3 linked regions of the Daphnia pulex genome follow. The protein of the gene in region 3 interacts with the protein of the main gene of each other region in a pairwise test. Links are inferred from orthologs where the notes say so. Each region holds a gene or a part of one and is shown on either strand. Other genes may lie near its edges. The genes, in order: cell cycle checkpoint protein RAD1-like, mitochondrial import receptor subunit TOM70-like and E3 ubiquitin-protein ligase parkin-like.

Evidence for each region.
Region 1: the proteins of E3 ubiquitin-protein ligase parkin-like (region 3) and cell cycle checkpoint protein RAD1-like interact in binary tests that used the Homo sapiens proteins (3 or more experiments, as listed by UniProt). The link is inferred for Daphnia pulex from reciprocal best matches to the Homo sapiens genes PRKN and RAD1.
Region 2: the proteins of E3 ubiquitin-protein ligase parkin-like (region 3) and mitochondrial import receptor subunit TOM70-like come close enough for resonance energy transfer, tested with the Homo sapiens proteins (3 studies listed by BioGRID). The link is inferred for Daphnia pulex from reciprocal best matches to the Homo sapiens genes PRKN and TOMM70.

What each region holds. Positions count from the first base shown.
Region 1 is NC_060028.1:2,684,181-2,690,610, reverse strand, and holds cell cycle checkpoint protein RAD1-like, read right to left. Parts: upstream 4,330-6,430; 5' UTR 4,203-4,329; exon of another isoform or gene 3,751-4,202; intron 3,692-3,750; exon of another isoform or gene 3,667-3,691; 5' UTR 3,587-3,666; coding exon 3,473-3,586; intron 3,374-3,472; coding exon 3,275-3,373; intron 3,215-3,274; coding exon 3,060-3,214; intron 2,992-3,059; coding exon 2,864-2,991; intron 2,808-2,863; coding exon 2,701-2,807; intron 2,638-2,700; coding exon 2,573-2,637; intron 2,548-2,572; exon of another isoform or gene 2,508-2,547; coding exon 2,288-2,507; 3' UTR 2,271-2,287; coding exon of another isoform or gene 2,235-2,270; 3' UTR 2,064-2,234; coding exon of another isoform or gene 1,952-2,063; 3' UTR 1,919-1,951; downstream 1-1,918. Other genes in the region: polymerase delta-interacting protein 2-like, read left to right, coding at 123-217, 319-433, 507-556, 935-1,043, 1,127-1,304, 1,385-1,548, 1,609-1,734, 1,794-1,873 and 1 more. UniProt on the Homo sapiens protein: Component of the 9-1-1 cell-cycle checkpoint response complex that plays a major role in DNA repair. The 9-1-1 complex is recruited to DNA lesion upon damage by the RAD17-replication factor C (RFC) clamp loader complex.
Region 2 is NC_060019.1:2,587,594-2,594,132, reverse strand, and holds mitochondrial import receptor subunit TOM70-like, read right to left. Parts: upstream 3,897-6,539; 5' UTR 3,807-3,896; coding exon 3,716-3,806; intron 3,643-3,715; coding exon 3,281-3,642; intron 3,220-3,280; coding exon 3,012-3,219; intron 2,946-3,011; coding exon 2,815-2,945; intron 2,752-2,814; coding exon 2,638-2,751; intron 2,572-2,637; coding exon 2,446-2,571; intron 2,384-2,445; coding exon 2,249-2,383; intron 2,182-2,248; coding exon 1,957-2,181; intron 1,878-1,956; coding exon 1,781-1,877; intron 1,711-1,780; coding exon 1,427-1,710; 3' UTR 1,228-1,426; downstream 1-1,227. Other genes in the region: telomerase RNA component interacting RNase-like, read left to right, coding at 276-608, 787-870, 938-1,007, 1,067-1,095; uncharacterized protein LOC124189772, read right to left, coding at 5,992-6,534. UniProt on the Homo sapiens protein: Acts as a receptor of the preprotein translocase complex of the outer mitochondrial membrane (TOM complex). Recognizes and mediates the translocation of mitochondrial preproteins from the cytosol into the mitochondria in a chaperone dependent manner.
Region 3 is NC_060026.1:3,259,852-3,266,300, reverse strand, and holds E3 ubiquitin-protein ligase parkin-like, read right to left. Parts: upstream 3,958-6,449; 5' UTR 3,847-3,957; intron 3,787-3,846; 5' UTR 3,732-3,786; coding exon 3,474-3,731; intron 3,409-3,473; coding exon 3,219-3,408; intron 3,158-3,218; coding exon 2,818-3,157; intron 2,750-2,817; coding exon 2,413-2,749; intron 2,351-2,412; coding exon 2,225-2,350; intron 2,158-2,224; coding exon 2,073-2,157; intron 2,008-2,072; coding exon 1,898-2,007; 3' UTR 1,395-1,897; coding exon of another isoform or gene 1,248-1,394; 3' UTR 1,186-1,247; downstream 1-1,185. Other genes in the region: translocation protein SEC63 homolog, read left to right, coding at 1-166, 239-430, 490-1,179, 1,248-1,394; histone H3, read right to left, coding at 4,582-4,992; histone H4, read left to right, coding at 5,287-5,598; histone H2B.3, read right to left, coding at 6,284-6,449. UniProt on the Homo sapiens protein: Functions within a multiprotein E3 ubiquitin ligase complex, catalyzing the covalent attachment of ubiquitin moieties onto substrate proteins. Substrates include SYT11 and VDAC1.

The sequences.
Region 1 (6,430 bases), on a different chromosome or scaffold from region 3:
CCTAGCGGTCACGAGAAGAAGGGCACACTGACACAACACACTGCAGAAGACGACTCGGCACGAACGAGTCAAAAAGTAAGAAAACAATAATAGTAAAAATAACATCAAAATTAAAATTATTCATGGCTTTGAATACTATGTTATTTGTCTGTCGGCGAAAATTTGACATCGCCTCAACATCCCGAATCAAAAAATTTGTGCTGGAGTACTCAACCAGGTGCAAACAAATGATTTTAAAATGTTACCTTTTTCCAACGGTAAAAGGAAACGTAAAATATAATAAATAAATTTTTCATTACATATTTTGGCCGGGAATAGATCTTTGGTTGAAGTTGGAAAATTGGAGATACCTAAAATTCAAGGAAAATATGATGCTGGCCAACTTTTCCTTCATCGTGTTTTTGGCTACAGAGGTGTGATTCTTTTCCCCTGGGTAAATATTGTTTCCAAACTTAATTTTGATATCATAATTTCTTTAAATACTCTAAATGTTTATTTCAATCCAGTCAGCTAGAGTGTATGATCGAGATATTTTGGCAAACAAGAAAACTACAAAGTATGTACCCTTTATATTGTAAGGTATCTTATTGTAAACACATTATTCTTGGAAGACTATACTTTAGCAATGTGAATGTGAGGTAGTTCATCAATTCCAGCTACACCAACAATATCTCAACACAGCAGAGAATCTCAAACTCTGCTAGCTTTAGGATTTGTAAAATGTTAATTCAACATGTCCACTCTAAATTCCATATTGCATTTCTGTTACTGTAACATTTTCATTTCCATTGCCATTGAAAAAGATCTAAGAATAGTACTGTAAAAACAAAGTTTTGTTTTCCATAATATATGTGCAAGGGACAAGCTTTTGCAGACATAGCTTACATCATCTCTCATGAAATACTTGCTAATCCTGTACTTAAAAAAAATACAGAACTCCTGATACTGATGTTAATACCTCTAATCAAGTTGGAAGAGAAGTAAAAGGGAAAAACCATACTTACTATCAGGTGCTCATTGATTCCCGCGACTGTCCTCATATTGTGAGTATTTAACTTTTCTTAAGCTGATGACCTTTTCAGTTTTCAGGAGCACATTTAGTAAAACTAGATTTCTGTTTATTAAGAGAGCACAAACAGAAGCGGTCACATTTTTAGGTCAACAAGAAAATAGCAAGTCGCTTTATGCTATTCCTGGTCTGGACTATGCTGCTCACGAAGATATCTTGCCGTATCGAACCACTGAGCACCAACCCTTATGTCACGAGCTTTTTGACAAATTTCTTATGCCTGACCCCGATAAAGGTTAATGTTTTCCCGCCCAGCTACATTGCGAATCTACTATCGAATTTTTTTAACACGAATCATCGATATATAAAGTGCAGATCCTCCGTTTGAAGCAAGAGAGACGTTGCGAGCGTGGCAAGAAAGAAATCACCCTTGGCTGGAATTATCAGATGTACACAAAGAAACGACAGAGAATATCCGTGTAACCGTTACTCCTTTTTACATGGGATGCCGAGAATCCCAAAATTCAACTGTCTTTTGGGTTCGTTCCATTGGTAATGTGAATCAAATTTTTTACAAATGTAATTTTTAACTTTTGCAGTGGCGTTACTGTATCCGGCTCGAAAACTTGGGAGAACTGTCTGTACAATTACGTGAACGGCACTGGCGTATTTTCAGTCTTTCGGGTACCCTAGAAACGGTTCGAGGAAGAGGAGTAATTGGACAGGTAATTAACGTCAATAACCACCGTTCAAAATTAGAATGTAACATTAAATCGTTCTTAAGGAACCGGTCTTGTCACCCGAACAACCAGCGTTCCAGTATAGCAGCCATATTTCACTACAAGCACCATCAGGGCATATGTGGTAATTTCAAGTTATTTTTCACTATTTATTAAAGAGTACAACAGCCAAGTTCAAATAATTTATTTTTTTTATGAACAGGGGAACGTTTCGAATGGAGAGAGAAGATGGGCACACCTTTGACTGTCGCATCCCTCCCTTTTCATTGGAAAGCAAGAACGAGGATAATAGCTTGCCAACCGGCGTGGTTTAATGGAGTCGTTCATGATAATCATGAAATATGAACAACAACAAACTTTGTACATGAAAGACAACTGCTGGCTTTTTAGTTTTTTCTAAGGTTTTCAAAGATCTTCGTTCTAGAATAATTCTAGGGCATTTTTTTCGTTTTAGTGATGCGGTCAATAATTCGTTCTCGTGGCATTCATTCGTCGTCGTCGAAGTCGACGTCCGCAGGGCACTATAAGAAATCAATTATTAGAGTGTATAAGGGAGAGGACGGTTGTAAAACGTAATTTGACGGATAGAACTTGGAAAAAAAAATGAACTTACGTAAAAATCGATGTAACAGTTGTGGTTGTCTTCTACCTTGATCATGAATTGGAAACATATGAGCCCCGTATCGTCGATTCGTAGCGAAACCTTTTGCGCTATTCCAAGGGGTTTGATGGATGGTTTCATCAAGGAGAGCTTGTATCTAAAGTCAGAAATTGAGCTAATACATCGTGTACGCCTTATTATGTATGTGTATCTATTTCGTACTTAAAGGACACTGCCGAGGTACAACGAAGAGTTTCTATTACATCGCTCTCTTTCGGAATATCGACCTTGAAACCCAAAACGTTTAGAATTAGAACGCGCTTCACTAAAAACTTTACAACGTGATTTACATGATAAGTTCCTGAATGACCAAATGTTGTGATACGAAAATTTGACGAATCAGGTGACAAAGAAAACTGAACAGTATCACTAGTCGAGTCCAACTCACAAAACACCTCTATAAAAACAATAATTATATTAGGAAATTTCTGTCTTCTTTCAACGCTTAATTACCTTTAAGACATTCCGAACTCATAATGATACGACCGATGACGTTAGCCGACCCAAAATCGTAATCCAGGACAGGATCAAAATGAACTGTACGTATCTTGCAGTCAGTGATAACTCCTGATTCTTCCAGCCTGCCAAAAAAAAAAATTATAATTCGAAATAAGTATAAAGAACGATTATTCTTTGTAGTTTTACATACAAGATAGAAACGGGAGTCCCATGGCCGTTATAGTAGAGTTTCAAGGCTGGTGTGCTGCCACTTTGAAGGTTGTTAGAGCCAAATACATTCAAACATTCCAGAAGCACAGTTAAATTAAGCTGAAATTTAATCTCATCTTCTTTAATAACATAACTCTAAATTTCAAAGAGTTAGTAAATTTTGTGAAAATTATTGTTTTTGTGAATTCTTTTTACTTGAAAAACTCCAGGCTCTATAAAGGCATTTAGCTGGACACTTTTCATGTCTTCAACTGTGACTTTTAATCCATCTCTAGTACAGCAAAATACGGAATTCTGAAAGGAAAGCAAAATCACAAGAAGGATGTAATAGGATTAGCTTTTGATCGCTAACAAAACATGTTTTCTCTGTATTACAATTCTTGAAGAATTTACCTCTTTGAAATTTATGGATTTGAGGATATGTGAGATAATTTTTGCATTATCCATACGTATCATCAAGATGTGACTTTGGTCTCCAGACGTGTTTTGAAATGGAAAATTTGGCATGGTGAATGTGGGACTCGTTTGCTCTTTAATGTTGTGGGAGTAGTTTTGAGAATTATGCAAAGGGTTCCTAAAGGATCATCCTGAAATGATCAGTGAAAAAATGTTCTGGTTAATAAGGCTAGGATTTTTTACAGAAAAATGTACTGCACAAAAAATGAACCGACCCAACTGTTACATCCAAGAGAACTATGATTCGAGACGAATTATTCTAGTTTTGACTGAATTCAAAATCTGGTTGTGTTTATCACAATCAACTATACAGCACAATCAAATTTGTTGGATTTAAAAAGTGCTAAACTGTCTGCAATGGAATGGAAGTAAAAATTTCAAGTTTTAATCTCGAGACGACGAAAAAGCCTACCGGCTTATTGATTCAAACAGGAAAATATTGTTATTATTAAACAGAAAGTCAGAAACATTGCGGCGTTGTACAACGCGAGAAAACAACAGTTTAGAGATGGGGAATTCGAAAATGAGCACGCCCATTGGTCGTATGCGACCATTGCGCCACCTAGAAATGTTTTGGCTTCCAAACATAGTTTTCAACTGATTAAGGCAGCGGGAAATGAATTTAAATGTAAAAGTCATGAAAAGATGAAATTTTAAATAAAAATACATAAAAGCAGTAAAGGACGAATGAAAAAAGAACCAAGTTGATGGCTGTTGATGGTTCGGAGCGAGGGAGAAAACTTGCCGCCAGTATCGTTGTTGTAGCGGTCGACGCGTGTACTCAGTTCGGTACCGCCTTAGTTGGCGGTGTTGAAGGGGAGCAGTTCTCTTTCACGTGCGAGGAGCAACGTGATAACAGATACAAGACAAAAAACAGCCCAAACGTCTTTTTCGGTGCTGAGACTTAAACCGTGAAGTGAAGTGTAATTCTTTTGTGGCTAAGTATGTGTGCAATCGAGTTTCGATTGTTTGATTTACCGGCATTTATAACCCAGTAATTCGGCACGTAGACTACTCGGCAAGCAGCAATAGTAGTAGCTTCGGCGCCCCCAAGAAAACCTAAAGGCAAAAATCGGTGACGCCCATTTTGGTGACGTCATCGCTGGGACACGTGTAGCCTGGTGCCTCGCTTGAAGTGCGTAGTTTTTCTCGATAATATTATCTTGTGATGTAGTGTTAGTTTTCAAACGTCACTTTGGCGATCAGAGTGACTTTGGTTTTTCGACTAAATGCAGTATCTTTTGCCGATTTAATTCTTGTCGCATTTAGTTTAGACATTAAAAGCAAGCAAACAAAGAGGCATTTTCCTCTTGTTAAAAGTTTTCTTTTGATAGACTATAGAGAGCTCATTCAAGGCCGCCAGCCTCAGGCCAAAATGAAACGAGTACTGAAACCCAAAAGCGAATGACCCTGTGTGCGTGCGTCTGTGTGAATTTTTATTTTTTTTTTCATTTGATATTGATGCAATGTGGATCCTGGATGTCATCGTTGTTGTTCAATGCTGTTACACTGTTGACTAAAACTGTTTGTGTCTTCTTGACCCACAGGTCTAACACTCAGCGGCTGGTGGTTGTCCAACAATGAGTTTGGAGATTCTCCTGGAAGCCGCTCTATTTGTAGAGCGACAGACCCAAGGTAATTGCTTTGCACAAGTTTAATCTAGTCCCCGTTCCCTCCTAGAAACAAGCAGGATTGCTCATACTGACATCAGTTTGTGCATGCAAAGTCTTTATAATATCAGACTGCTTAGAAGCTCGTGCACCCCCAGTCTTGAATTTCTCGAGCTCTGCAGAGCCAAAGGTTGTGAATCAGTTCCCTATTGTGTTTGGTGTTGGAGGATATGAGCTCATCAATCTTTTGGTTTTCTGGCCTTTGAATCTGTAATTGCCCCCGCCAGGTGCCTCTGTTGGAGCGTGTCTTTTTTATTTTATTTCTTCTTCTTCCCCAACGTCACACTACGGTCATCGAGAATGTCGACATCGATTGTTGACCTCGATCTCTACGAAGTTAGAGCCTGCGCATTGGCATTTTGACGTTGGCAACAGTCCATTCAAAAAAGCTCCTCCTCCTCTTTTATTTTTCCAGGCTCGCCAAGAACAAGCAAGAACGGGTGTCGGGAGTGGGAGAGAGAGAGGTGGGTGAGGAGAGCGATCTATTTGCGCAACTGCGAATCTCGGGGAGAGTGGCGTGCGTGCGCGGGTAACACGCCGAAATAGATCCGAAAAAAGGGTGGCAAAGCCCCGCCCACTTCGGTTCCACAACCCGCACGTGCTAACCAGTGTGTGTGTGTGTGTGTATCCCGCTCGCACTGGGAGGGTGGTGGTGTGCATTGTAGAGCGGATGGGGGAGGTCAAGAGCTAGATAGGAAAGAGAGAGAGTCCGGGAGTGAAAACAAAGTCGTCGCGCACGCAGCCAACGACATGGCTGATTATATAAGAGAGGGGGGAGGGAGGGAGAGCGTGCGGTAACGGGTGGCAAGTGATGATGGTAGGTGGAGGAGGAGGAGGAGAAGGAGGTCGCCACTCACGCCGTAGTGCAGCCGCAACGGATACTGGCTCACCAGTCTACGATCGAAGGTCGGCTAGTGCAGAGAGAGAGAGAGACTCTTTAATATATTATCATTTTATTTGTGTGAGTGTGGCTCCCCGTGTGTGGACGTGTGTGTGTGTGTATGTATGTTTGGGAGTTTGCGCGCGCGCATCTTGTGTGTTACGACGTCATCGCCACGGTGGTGGTGGTGGGGGGCCCCTGTGAGTTATTTTGCAATGCGTTGTGACTGTTGAATGCGACTCGGCAACAATTTTTCCTCCCTCCCAGTGGTCGTCGTTTTGTTTTTGTTTTTGTTTTTTCCTCTGGGGAGCATTGGAAACTACGGGCCGTTTCGAGTTGACTAGC
Region 2 (6,539 bases), on a different chromosome or scaffold from region 3:
TTGATTTGGTCATCTGAAACCGTCGGCGAGTGTTTCATCTCCATTTCAGAAATTAAAATGAAAAATACCGAGGAATGAAAACAAAACATAAATATTTTAGAAACAAAAATCTTTTGCGGATATGGCTCTCTTATCAGTTTTTAATTGTTGCGTCGAATTCCTGATATTATTTATTGAATTATTTATATTTTCGTAGTTGCGCATTTCTATCCCCAGGCATTGTCATCGTTTATGCTGACACCTAGCGGAAAATTTGTTTGTTTGTCAAAAGAAAAATGGCTTCCCCCAGAGAAGAAGGCGAATTGCTGGAAAGCTCAAGTGATAGTTCTGATGAAGAAGATTCTGAAGAAGAACCATCGGGAAAACCCGGACCGACTGCTGTCAAGTTCAAAAATGACGGAAGTTTCCTGGAAATGTTCAAAAAGATGCAGGAAAACAGTCAAACCCAAGTACCTGAGAAGACTGTACACGAACAGCAGCTGGTGAAAGATACAGACACTTCTTCTTCAGCTGAAAAGAAATGCTCTACGAAAAAGGAAGAGGAACCAGCAGCCTCAGCAGCATCACCACAACCTGTTCAACAGAAGAAACCTGGTCTCATGTCCATCGTAAGTCTTCTTCCTCCAGATTCTCCAGAGAACCAACTCAGTTGTTGAATCGTTTAAACAGACGTATCTCTTCCAGTGATCCCAAGGATGATATCCTAGCCCGACATTCGCGGCGGTTTCAGATTCAAAGTTATAGCTGAACGACACTAACGGGCGAGTCATTTCTATATCCGTACAGGTTGGAAAACGCCGTGGTGGCAAATCCCTTCCCGTTGGAGTTGTTAAGAAGCAGAAACGACCCGAGGAAGAAGAAGAAAGTAGTGTAAGTTTCCATATTTATCCCTGGCTCAAAATATGTTTTTAACATTTGTCTTTTATACATTCAATAGGGGAAAACAGATGCCTGGTCCCAGTACATGAGTGAAGTGAAGAAATACAAGGAACGGCTTGGTGATGAAGGTGATATTGCTCTATATTCTGTGATTTACACCAAATCTTAACCTTATATTTGATTACAGAGGAGAAGAACCGACCCCTGGTCAAGTGATTTTCAAACAATTCCTTTACGAGTGTGTGTTGACAATTTGACATATGTCTGATTTGCTTGTGAGTGTGCTTAAATAACAATTTAATGAAGAAAAAAAACCCTTGATACACATTTTGAAATGAAAACTTGACATTGTTCTTGTTTCTTTTATTACAAATATTACTACCCACATTTAACAAAACAAACCCTGACGAACAAGACGGTGACTCGGTTATTCAAGCTAAATTTGCGTTTTAAGGTCGATTCCATAATAAGTTGTGAAAGACTTAAGTCTACAGGGAATTCAGGAAATAGTCAAATCGTTTTTTTTCTTTTTCTTTCTTAGTCGTCATCAGTTCATGGCAGAAGGTAGGGTGACGCCAAGATTAAGGGCCACTTTAAGTTGGGCCAGAGCTGCATCTTTCAATGAAAAGAGGTGCGAAACCTCGGCTTCCGTTTTCGATAACGGAATAGCTTTATCAAAAAGCTCGATCGCCCGTCGTAGGTTGCCGCGTTGAACTTCGATCGTACCAAGAGTCTCGTATGCGAATTCGCACTTGTCATCCATTCGTATAGCCTCTTCGATATGCTTAGTTGCCAATTCAACGTTACCAGTAGACTGCAGCTGGAGCAGACCTGCGTCCGACAAGATAAGAGTTTTAATTATAGCTCCCCAGCTCCTAAAATTAAACAGACATTTCAGTACCTCTATGCACATATGCAGTGGCGTTGTGAGGGTCCACTTCAAGAGCTTTCATAAACAACTCGTCGGCCTTCACAAACTCTTGTTGATCAGACAACACCTGATAACAAAACCGATTAGAAAAAGAAAAAAAATAAGATACTGTCCACAACAAATGAATAATTAGGGTTCCAACTGACTTGTGCATAGAGAAGGAAGCATTCAGGGCAAGTAGGGAATCGGCGGATGGCATCTTCGAACGCTGCCAATGATGCAACGACTTCTCCGGCGTTGCTCATCGCTACAGCGGCTCGGTAGTCTGTGTAGAGCTTCTGGACAAGAGCAATGGGAAAATCTCCATTCAGAGAAACAGCTTTGGCGAAATCACTCATGGCTTCACTGGCTTGATCCAGCAACATGTAAACCTGACAAGAGGGTGGAATACAATTTAGTGAAACCTTTTAAATTCATGAAAGTCAAAAACGGATATACCTGTCCTCTGTGATGGAAGACGTCAGCATTTTCTGGCCCGAGCTCGGCGGCCATCAGCAAATCGTGTAAACTTTCTTCAGGGGAACCAAGTTGCATCCGGAGAGTGGCCCTTTTCACCAAGGCGTTCACCCTAACCTAAAAATTGACAAATACGTTGAGATAAATATGGGGAGAATGTTTTTGTATATTAATTTCACCTTGGGGTCTGTTTCAGGGTCGTTGAATACTGAAGAAAAATCGTCCAAGGCTTTTTCATGCTCGCCAAGTAGGGAAAGGAACGTTCCTCGTAGAAGCCTTGCAAGTCTTTTGATTGTTATGTCACCCTGTTAATAAAGAGACAAGATACTGTGAAATTAAGGTTTCAAAAATTTACTGTCCTATTTCCCTACCGCTTCAGATTCGAGTTCATTCGTGCACAATTCAATAATGGGGTCGAATTCTTTCTCTCTCAACTTGTCCAAGGCTTTGGCGAAATAGCTCTTTTCTTCATCTGTTTCTGGTTGCTGAGAGATAAGATTACAGATAAGAGGAAACGAAACCAAATGAATAATTCTGTTTGCTTTTACCATCGTATTGTCCTGTTTTAGTAGATTAAAAACGGGGTCTTCCGCAAAAGAACACATGAAAGTGTTGACAGAGTGTTTGGACGGAATGACAGACTGTCGGTTTAGCATGGCTTCTTTGGCATGTTCCTTCCCTGCGTGGATCGATCAACGTCTCTTTTCAAATTATTCTGGAGGTAAAGAAATGGGGGAAAAGTTACCTAAATCTTTAAGCACTCTATCAGCCATCAATAATGATGACTGATTCTGAAAGGCCTCCAATATGCATACAGCGGTAATATCTTCTAAGCATGCCTCTAACTGCTTTGTTATTTCATAGGCCTTTGCTCTTCTGTGCAGAGCTTTGACATACTTTGAGTTGTACTGGAGAGCTTCTGTGCAGTCTTTAATGACAGCTTCATAGTTTTTCTGTGAGAGTTAGGCAATATTTATAGGTTGTTGAATTGTTAGTAACATTCTGTATAGGTACCAGTTGTTCAAAGGCGGCTGCCCGGTTCTGGTGGAAAAGGGAAATATCTGTGTTGTCTTTTGGACAGATATCTATGGCTTGTTGGTAGCACTTGATCGCATCTGAATATTTGCCTTCTTTGAAATACTTATTGCCTTTGTTCTTGTATGTTTGGGCCTGCTTGTTAGGGTCTTCTTCTACCACTGGAGCAGCACTTTTTCCAGTGCTGTTATCTATTCCGTTGGCTTTCTTGGGTGGTTGAGTTTCACCAGTGACTGTGACACTAGTAGCTACATCTTCTACACTTTTCTTGCTCTGCTTGTCTTCCTTGTCTGCAGGCTGAATTCCAGTTTTCCTCGATCGATAATACCATATACCGAGTCCTGGAAAAGCCACACATGTGCTTTACATTAGCCATTTTAATTGAAGTCTAACAAGCAATTAGAAAAAACTTACCTAAGGCTACTGGAGCTCCAATAGCTAAAGCTATTTGCCATTTAGGCAATGAAAGCCCGGACGAGGAACCTGCACGTGCGGATCCAGACATTGTTGTGTAAAATGTTTTTTTCCTGGTTGAATGCAGTCAGCAGTCACGGAAACTCCAGACGACGTGCAACGCTCGGGACTGTATTTTTTAAGACCGGCTTTTTTCAGCAACGCAGTTGAAATCGTGAACACTAGATGGCTTAAAGCGGGAATTTGAATTAAATTACCCAATATTCGTGCTATAAAATGCAATCGGTAACCGGATCACACCACTTTTTCCCGTTTTCTGGCGTAATAATCAACAATTTAAATAAATTTAAATCTGTTTTTTAAATAACAAAATTAATCGATTTTTTATGATTTCGGGTGCGTTCAAAATCTTGTAAATTTATGGTGAACTGTGTTCACTAGCATTTTATACCAACTTTATTATAGTACGATTAACTTGACTACAAATAAAAAAATTCCAATCATTATCAATCATAATTTTTCAAAGTCACGAACCCTCTGACGTCATCCGCAGACGCATTCTCAAAAAATCAGCAACATATTTTGAGAAGATTTGTTAACACTTGAAATCACTGGATTGTTGCGACAACACATGACGACTGATGGACATTTCACCACTACGGTAGTTTGTTTAACTTTGGTTCCGAGTCAGAGTGTTAAATTTAAAGGTGACACATGTGTTCTTCTTCGATGCATGTTGTGTACCTAATCTTACTTGAACTCGTGTTATTTCTATCTGTAGTTTAGAAGTTAGAACAACCCACGTATTTAAGTAGAGAAAATAACGTTTTCATTTACGTCAATTATGATAAAAGCAAATCAAATCCTAACACATTTACAGAAATGAATGTCGGTTTTCATGCAAGAATTTTTATTAAGATAACATTATAATGTTATTAAACACACTATAGTGTGTTTAAAATAATGTTTTTAAGTCGTGTGCTTGAAGTAGAAGTGAACAAAATAAAGGTAGGATGGAAGAAAAAACTTTTTGAAAGTGAAAGACGTTATTGCTTATGGAGTTGAACAAAAAAAAAACTTATTCAAAAAAATGTCACGAAATATACAAATCACAAAGAAAGGTATAGCGAATAGGAAACGCCTGTTGTTCAGTAAGACTAAAAGGATACAGATAGACGGCAAAATTAACTTATTAGCAGCCGCCAAGTGGTTTATCTACAATACAATAAACACAAAGAAATACTGATTACGATAGCGGTCTAGCAATTCGAAGTCGCCGAAAGAAAGTCTCGTTTGGTGTAGACGAGACACAACGTAACGATAATTTAACTATTGCGAGAAAACATAGCCACTTCATACAAAAGAATTACTTACGACAGTTAGACTTGATTTCACTGGTTTTTGGTTTCGCAGATCAAGTTATCAACGTGGAACAAAGTCCATCACAACAATATCCACTTTTCAAATCGTAGTCGTAGCGTAGGTATGAATAGAATAGAAAGGTAGGCGCAGTAGTTTGATGTGCTGTCGTTAGATGCTCCGGCAGTTGGTACTCGAAAAGTGCCAGAAATGGTTCAGCAGAGGACGGTTCATATTGAAGGACGATTAGCTGAGAATAACTGTGCCTAAAGTTAAATTAAATATGTGATGGATCCGTAAATGGTTTAAGGTTAGATTTTCAAATAGATATATTAATTTACATCAGCATCACACTCAAACTTTTGGCCAGTTGAAAACGAACAATCACAACTATACATGCTGAAGCGCTAGCTGTTTCTTTTATTGCTCCACGTATAGCAGCGCCCTGGCAGCGCCACATAAGGAAAAAGAATCTGAGGCTCTGCTCCAGATCTCATTTTAAAACTGGCGGCGACAACGTAAACAACATTAGCGTAAACAAGGTTCAGTCTATTTTCAGTATAGTCCAAGAAGGCAAGTCGTCACAAACAGAAAATAACGTTTACGCCATTGAAGATTGAACAAGAATTCAATTTGAAGTCAAATCCAAGGATACCAAGTGCTGTTATCTAGAAATTGTAATACAATTTCGTGTGAATTTCGTTGAGAAACAAGATTTGAAGAAAGACATTTAACTGCAAGTTAGTCAGCCGTTGTTTGTTTCCGTAAGATAAGATATAATACTTAAATTAAACCTGTTAAATGATTGAAGTGAGTCTTTCGATTAAATCTCCTTTGTATTCAAGTTAGCAATTAAACATCACAAAAGTTTTTATGGCTCGAATGATAACGCGACGCCAATCACCGGCGCATAAAGTCTAAAACAAGTCATTGAACCTTCGCAATTTTTTTAATTGCTCGACACAATCCGCTTCGAAGATTCTTAATCGATTGCTGGCCATTCCGAGTTGTTTGAGCATTTGGCAGAGATCAATCATGCATGTGAGCATTGCTTCTAGCCAATATGAATCTTGAATTTTGTTGTGCGTTCCATGGTTACGAATTTGTTTTACCATTTTTAATTTGTTCACAATCCTATTGCGATTTCGTGTCTCTTCAGAAGTTGATTGCCCAGGACGTGAAAAAACGGATGGTGTATTTTCTAAAAATTCAGCAATTTTTTTGACAATGTCAGTTGCACCTTTTTCTTCAAGGTCTTGGCGAGTCTCTTCAGCGAGTCCCAATCTTAAGTTCCGCAACAGGATATCGGCAAATTCCGTGTACCAAGCTAACAGCATAATCGGTCGCCTATTTGCATTTGAGATGTCGTTCATGCGATAATAGTCCCCGTGGATCATGACGAAGTTATCGTCGGCGAATCCCATTCGTCTAGCAGGATTTATTTCCATATCAGAGTCAGACTTCA
Region 3 (6,449 bases):
CCATGCAGGGCGGCTGAGCCGCATGCCGTCTCTGGTCACATTGGAAGGTTGTATGAAACTTTCGGCCATGGTCGTTCAAGGACTTTGGGAATGCAAGAGTCCTCTCATGCAATTGCCTCACATCACCGACGAAAATCTCAAGTACTTTTCCAGCAAGCGATATCAGGTAATTATTTTTGTGTGTTAATCAAGCTGAAAAGTTAGATGGTTTTTTTAACGAGCCATTGTGTCGCAACAGATCCGCTCGCTGGAACAGCTAGCCCGACTGAAGGACGAAGATAGACGCGAGTGCTTACGTCATCTTGACGACAATCAATACAATGATTTGGTTCTCGCTCTGGGAGGAATGCCTTATGTGGATATGAATATTAAATATGAAGTAGTGGATGACGAATCCACCACAAAGTACACAGCTGGCGCTATCGTCACGGTAAGATGAATTTTTACAAAATAGTTTCAACGGTCGGAGAACTCATTCTTTTAAATCAGGTTACGATCGCCTTGGCAAGGAGAGATTTGAGCGTTCTGTTCGCTAACGAGAAGGAAACAACAAATGAAGTTTTCGAGAACGGTGAAGTGATAGCGGAAGAAGAAGAAAAACAGGAACCCAAAAAGAAGTCACTACCGTGGCAGAAAAACAAAGGCAAGAGAGCTACTAATAAAAAAGGCAGCAAAAAGCCAATAAAGAAGGAAGTAGAAGATAAGAAGAAGACTGCAGCAGCATCAAGTAAAACAGCTAACAAGACAAAGGAAGAAGAATCCGAAAGTTGTAGTGAAGTTGAAGCCGAGGACGAAGTTGAATTGGACGAATCTGACGACGGCGAGGCGGAAGCAGCCAACAATGATGGTTCTTTGCCCGAGAAAGACGACGATCAATTAGAAAAGCTACAGAGTGATGTTGCAATGCGTCGCCAGAGGCTGCTGGAGGGTAAAAGTCAGTTTTCGCACTCGGTGTACTGCCCGTTCTATCCCGAAGACAAACAAGAATATTGGTGGGCTTATATTACGGACCGGAAACAACAAATGCTTCTGACCGCCCCCTATCACATTACCAATCTAGTAGAGCACGAAGAAATCCAACTCAAATTCACAGCTCCGTTCAAGCCGGGATTCTACACGTTCGCCGTGTGTTTACGCTCCGATTCATATTTTGGTTTTGATCAAATGAAGGATATCAAGGTATATTCCGGCTAATTATTTTAATTTTGCTAAATAGGTTATTGATTGATTAAAATTTTAATTCACAGATGGACGTTAAAGAAGCAGAGGAGATTCCTACTGAGCATCCACAATGGGATATTTCCGATGATGAGGATGAAGAAGATAAGAACTCTGGAGGCTCCGAATCTGAATTTGCTACCGATGATGATGACGAAGAGAGTGGCAAGGACTGATTGCAGTAGAAATGAGACTTTTTTTTCACTTGCCAGAGACTTCAACATTCTGTTCATTGGGAAAAAGGATTCAATTTCATCACCGTCTTGTAAAGGCTTAAAATCTTGAAAAATTTATTTCTAGTGGGAATCTTCTGGCTTTATTTTCATTGGCTATACATATGGGTATTTATCATTCCCTATACCTCGACTGCCGATTACACAAATCTTGTCTAGGCCTTCAATCGGTGAAACACGGGATGTTTGCAATATTTTGATTGTGACAGTTGGAAAATTAAAGGCTTCTTAAGACTTCCCTAGAACAGCATTTGAATATTTCGGATAAATGATTCATTTCAATTTTCAATTAACAGATTTGTCTAGATTATTATAGGAACCAAATGTCATCAATTTCTTGACTAGTATAGCGTAAAGAAATGTACACTCTCCACCCTTATACTACCCGACACCAAGGAACCACGGTACTTTATAAAAGGGTTGATAAAGAAAGCGGAAAGGTTGTCTTATCCGAACCAGTGACTTCCCATGCACTCTCTTGTCCACTCCGTTTGACAAACCCAGCACCAATGAAATCCACACTGTTGTCGAGTACAGATCATGTGCATACAACCTCCTGTGAACAAACAAGAAATTAGCTACACCGTTAGAGAAATAATCCCAGATCATAATTTAATTTACCATCTCGCTCGGTTGGCGTTCGGCACTTTGGGCAAGGTTTTGAAGTAACACGTATGGTAACGCGACTGTCTGCATCCCACCTCGCCTAAGTAAATAATTTCATGTTACTCATTTAATCTAGAATCAAGCTCAAATGTGGATATTAGAGAAACCTGAGCAGCTCGTCCGGGATCTACAACGTACTCGGTGGTTGTCAACATGGATTGAAAGTTGTTTTCTCCATTTGTCTGACACTCGTCGATGTGATAGCCTTGTAGGCAATCGCGGCAGAACACGAACTGAGTTGCGAAAAACATTTAGACATTTTTTAACAAGGTTATATTTATGAGAATATGCTTACCTCACATCCCCCTGTGCATTGAATTCGGCGACAAGAAGGGTCCGCAAGTAAGCCCATTCCACAGCCAGGTTGTGGACAAAGCACACCACCTGTCGACATAACATATTCCTCTGCTCCAAAGTGCAGGAGTCGTTGGTACTGCTCATTTCCTAGAATTTTAAAGTGCTGGGTTCCGTCGATCAATGAGTTCTCACATCCAGCTGGACAAGGCAGGGTATAACCGATATTGGGATCGAAGACAAACCTCCTTTCGTTCAATCGAGACATACAGTATTGCTGGAAGCACTCCAAACATATCACATGAGAGTTGGTACATTGAAATACCAAAACAGGATCACTAAAGTGGGATATTAAAATAAGTTGCCAAGTTACTGAATTCTATCTTAACTTTAAAACGATTGCTACCTAATATCCATGCAGGCCAGGCACTGAACCTGTTTGAAGTTTGATTTGACGAGATTCAGAGGAAGAGTTGAGTCAGTCTCTCCTCGTGAAGGGTGATGTGCGCACTTGAAGTAGAATTCGGCCCACGAATGATCACAATCTTCCATCTGACAAGTACCACTAACTTGCTCCGGTCGTAAAACATCATCCCAGCAGCAAGGATCTCGGTCCACGGTGAAGGCACCAGCTTTGCAAAGGCTACATCGAACTCGAAGTTTACCACTTTGTATTGATTTGCATGGAAATTCACAGTAAACATAAAACTGAGCTTTCTTTTGCTTATACTCTGGAGAACTACAAGCTAAAAACGAGGAAGTTGTCAGAATTCATAAAATGATTTGGAAAACTATTTGCAGACGTACCCAGAGATTTGTGCAACAATTTCTGTTCCTCTTCAGTTAACTGCAAGTCGAGCAATGTTTCACAAAGAGGCTTGTCTTGATGAAATGGTGTATTTCTCCTATTTTTGTCTTCGGAAGAAGTTGCATCAGTTTTTTTTATGACTTTAAGTTTAACAGCATTTAGAATACTATTATGACCAAGATCACACTCCTAAAAATTTGTTGGGTAAATTAAACTTAGAATATCAACAAAAGCAATATAAGAAATTAACAAACCTCTAGTAACAAGTCATCAGCAAGACTTTTGCCAGCCAAAATAATGCTGATATCTTCAACTTTCAGACCAACTTTAGGGGCTATAAATTTCTTGATCCGAGCTACATCCCAATCTCGACTCATTTCGATAAGAAATGTTTTACCTCCTGCAGCTTTTATGTGAACAGGCAGGGTAAATTCACTTGAATCACTGGGCCAAAAAAATCTCAAAATTCTGTTCAATAATGAACGTATGAGCGACAACAGCCATTTAATCATTCTGTAGGTTTACGTGAAAAACCCAAGATTGAAGAACATTATGAAAGCGAGATATCTACGTAAAAAATGTATAATTTAAATAACCAAAAATATTTTATATTTTTATATTGCATACCGGCACGAACTGAAAATATTGTTTACGTTGGCTTCGGTTGAAATGAATTGGAACAAACGTCGTCTGCAGTCTGCTGTGAAATGGACTAGCAACAATTTCGTCATAATATTTAGTTAGTAGGTTGACGCTAGCACCTTCTCTTCGTCACTCTCATCAACAAGTCAACTTCGTCTTATTATATTTAGCAGAGTATATAAAAGGTAACGAAATTATCTGTTATTCTGGTGTTTAGTGAGATTGTGGCTTGTAGGCTTTTATGGCTCTAGAAGGTCAACTTAAACTTGTCAAACTAAAAACTGCTGTAAATTTCTAGAATAAGTAATGTCGAAAAATCCTTGATATACTTAACCTCTTTCGTAAGCCCCTCTTTTTCGGTCATACCTACACGTTTATTTACATAAGTAATTATCGAAATCCGTACTTTAACTGAAAATGACGAACCCAACAGAAGTCGACCAAATCATGTTACTGGGTTACTTTTAATTAAATTAGTTTTAGGTCTTATATAACGTTACACTTCTTATAGCAACTAACTAATTATTCTAAAATTCAACCTTGGATGAAAGAAATTTATACAACTATTAATTTCCAGAAAATTAGAAAGAAGTTGGTAATTAAACAATACTGATCTAGTTTAATCCAAGATATTGAAATGTCTGGCAGGAAAAATCTTTTCAAGCAACTAATGGTGGCCCTGAAAAGGGCCGATTGGTAAGTCAAAAGGGAAAAGGTCGCTTAGGCACGTTCACCACGAATACGACGAGCGAGCTGGATGTCTTTTGGCATGATGGTGACTCGCTTGGCGTGGATGGCGCACAAGTTGGTGTCTTCGAAAAGACCCACCAAGTAAGCCTCGCTGGCCTCCTGCAGGGCCATGACGGCCGAGCTCTGGAAACGCAAATCTGTCTTGAAATCCTGGGCGATTTCTCTGACCAAGCGCTGGAATGGCAACTTGCGGATCAGAAGCTCGGTCGACTTTTGGTAGCGACGGATCTCACGAAGGGCGACGGTGCCGGGACGATAACGATGGGGTTTCTTGACTCCTCCAGTGGCCGGGGCACTCTTGCGAGCGGCTTTGGTGGCCAACTGTTTGCGGGGCGCCTTGCCACCGGTGGATTTACGAGCAGTTTGCTTGGTACGAGCCATTTCGAGCGAGTGAAATTTCAGATGTCCTAACTAGTGAAAAGTGCTTGGTATATGTGGGGAACCTACGGACGTTGCAGAGCTAAGCGAGTTCACTGGCTAGGGATTGGTTAATTCAAAAATGGGAGGGAATAGAAAATTTATAACGGAAATCCTTTTTGTTGACAAATGATGGCTGGAGCTGAGTTCCACCAATAGGAGTTCAGCTTGAGGATCCGGTAGGGTATATATTGGGACCATAGTGAGTTTAACATAACATCATTCGATATTTTTTAAATCTCTGAAACTTATTTGAAAATGACTGGTCGCGGCAAAGGAGGAAAAGGACTCGGCAAGGGAGGCGCCAAACGTCATCGCAAAGTTTTGCGTGACAACATCCAGGGAATCACCAAGCCGGCCATCCGTCGTCTTGCCCGTCGTGGTGGTGTCAAGCGAATCTCTGGTCTCATCTACGAGGAGACCCGCGGTGTGTTGAAGGTGTTCCTTGAGAACGTGATTCGTGACGCCGTCACCTACACTGAACACGCCAAGAGGAAGACGGTGACGGCCATGGACGTCGTCTACGCATTGAAACGCCAGGGCCGCACTCTGTACGGCTTCGGCGGTTAAATTTGATTCCGATTTATTATTTTAACTCCTGACTCAATCCAATCGGCCCTTTTCAGGGCCACCATTTACTTAAAGAAAAAGATTTCTTAACCACTTTTTAAACCATATTCTTGTCGACTTTATGCTGCTACAAGAACAAAATCCTTGAATTTTGAATTAATAAGCATCATTCTTTTATTTCATCTTTGAAAGATTTGATTGACATAGCAGGTGTTGGAGCAATGCGTCCTAAAGGATCTTGTGATCTGAAACTATGTTAATCCAAATAACTCGATCGAAAAATATCGAGATGCTGTTATGTTATTGATATTGTTTTCTCAGATTTTACGCAGTATTTTTATTTTTAACTTTCATATTTAACAAAAATCTTCCTTAGTTCCTTAGTATGTAGAAGGAGTTGCTAACGGAGATAAATTTTAATATCAATCATTTTCTAAATCAAATGAATATGTAAAATCAACGCATTGAACCGGATCTGCCAAACTTAAAATTCAGCAGAAAGATAGAGAAAAGCTCTTGATCACAGTATTTCCTAACGTTCCGTCGCACTAATCAACAATATGGGTTCAGTTTAGAACTCGATTAGATAATAAATGTCAAAAGTAGTTAGATGTTTTTCCTTTCTTTAAAATTTGGTGGCCCTGAAAAGGGCCGTTTGGTTTGTAGAGAGAACAAGAGGATCACTCTACTTGGTGCTGGTGTACTTGGTCACTGCCTTGGTGCCTTCAGACACGGCGTGCTTGGCCAACTCACCGGGCAAGAGCAGACGGACGGCCGTCTGGATTTCCCGGCTGGTGATGGTCGACCGCTTGTTGTAGTGGGCGAGACGGGACGACTCTCCAGCGATGCGC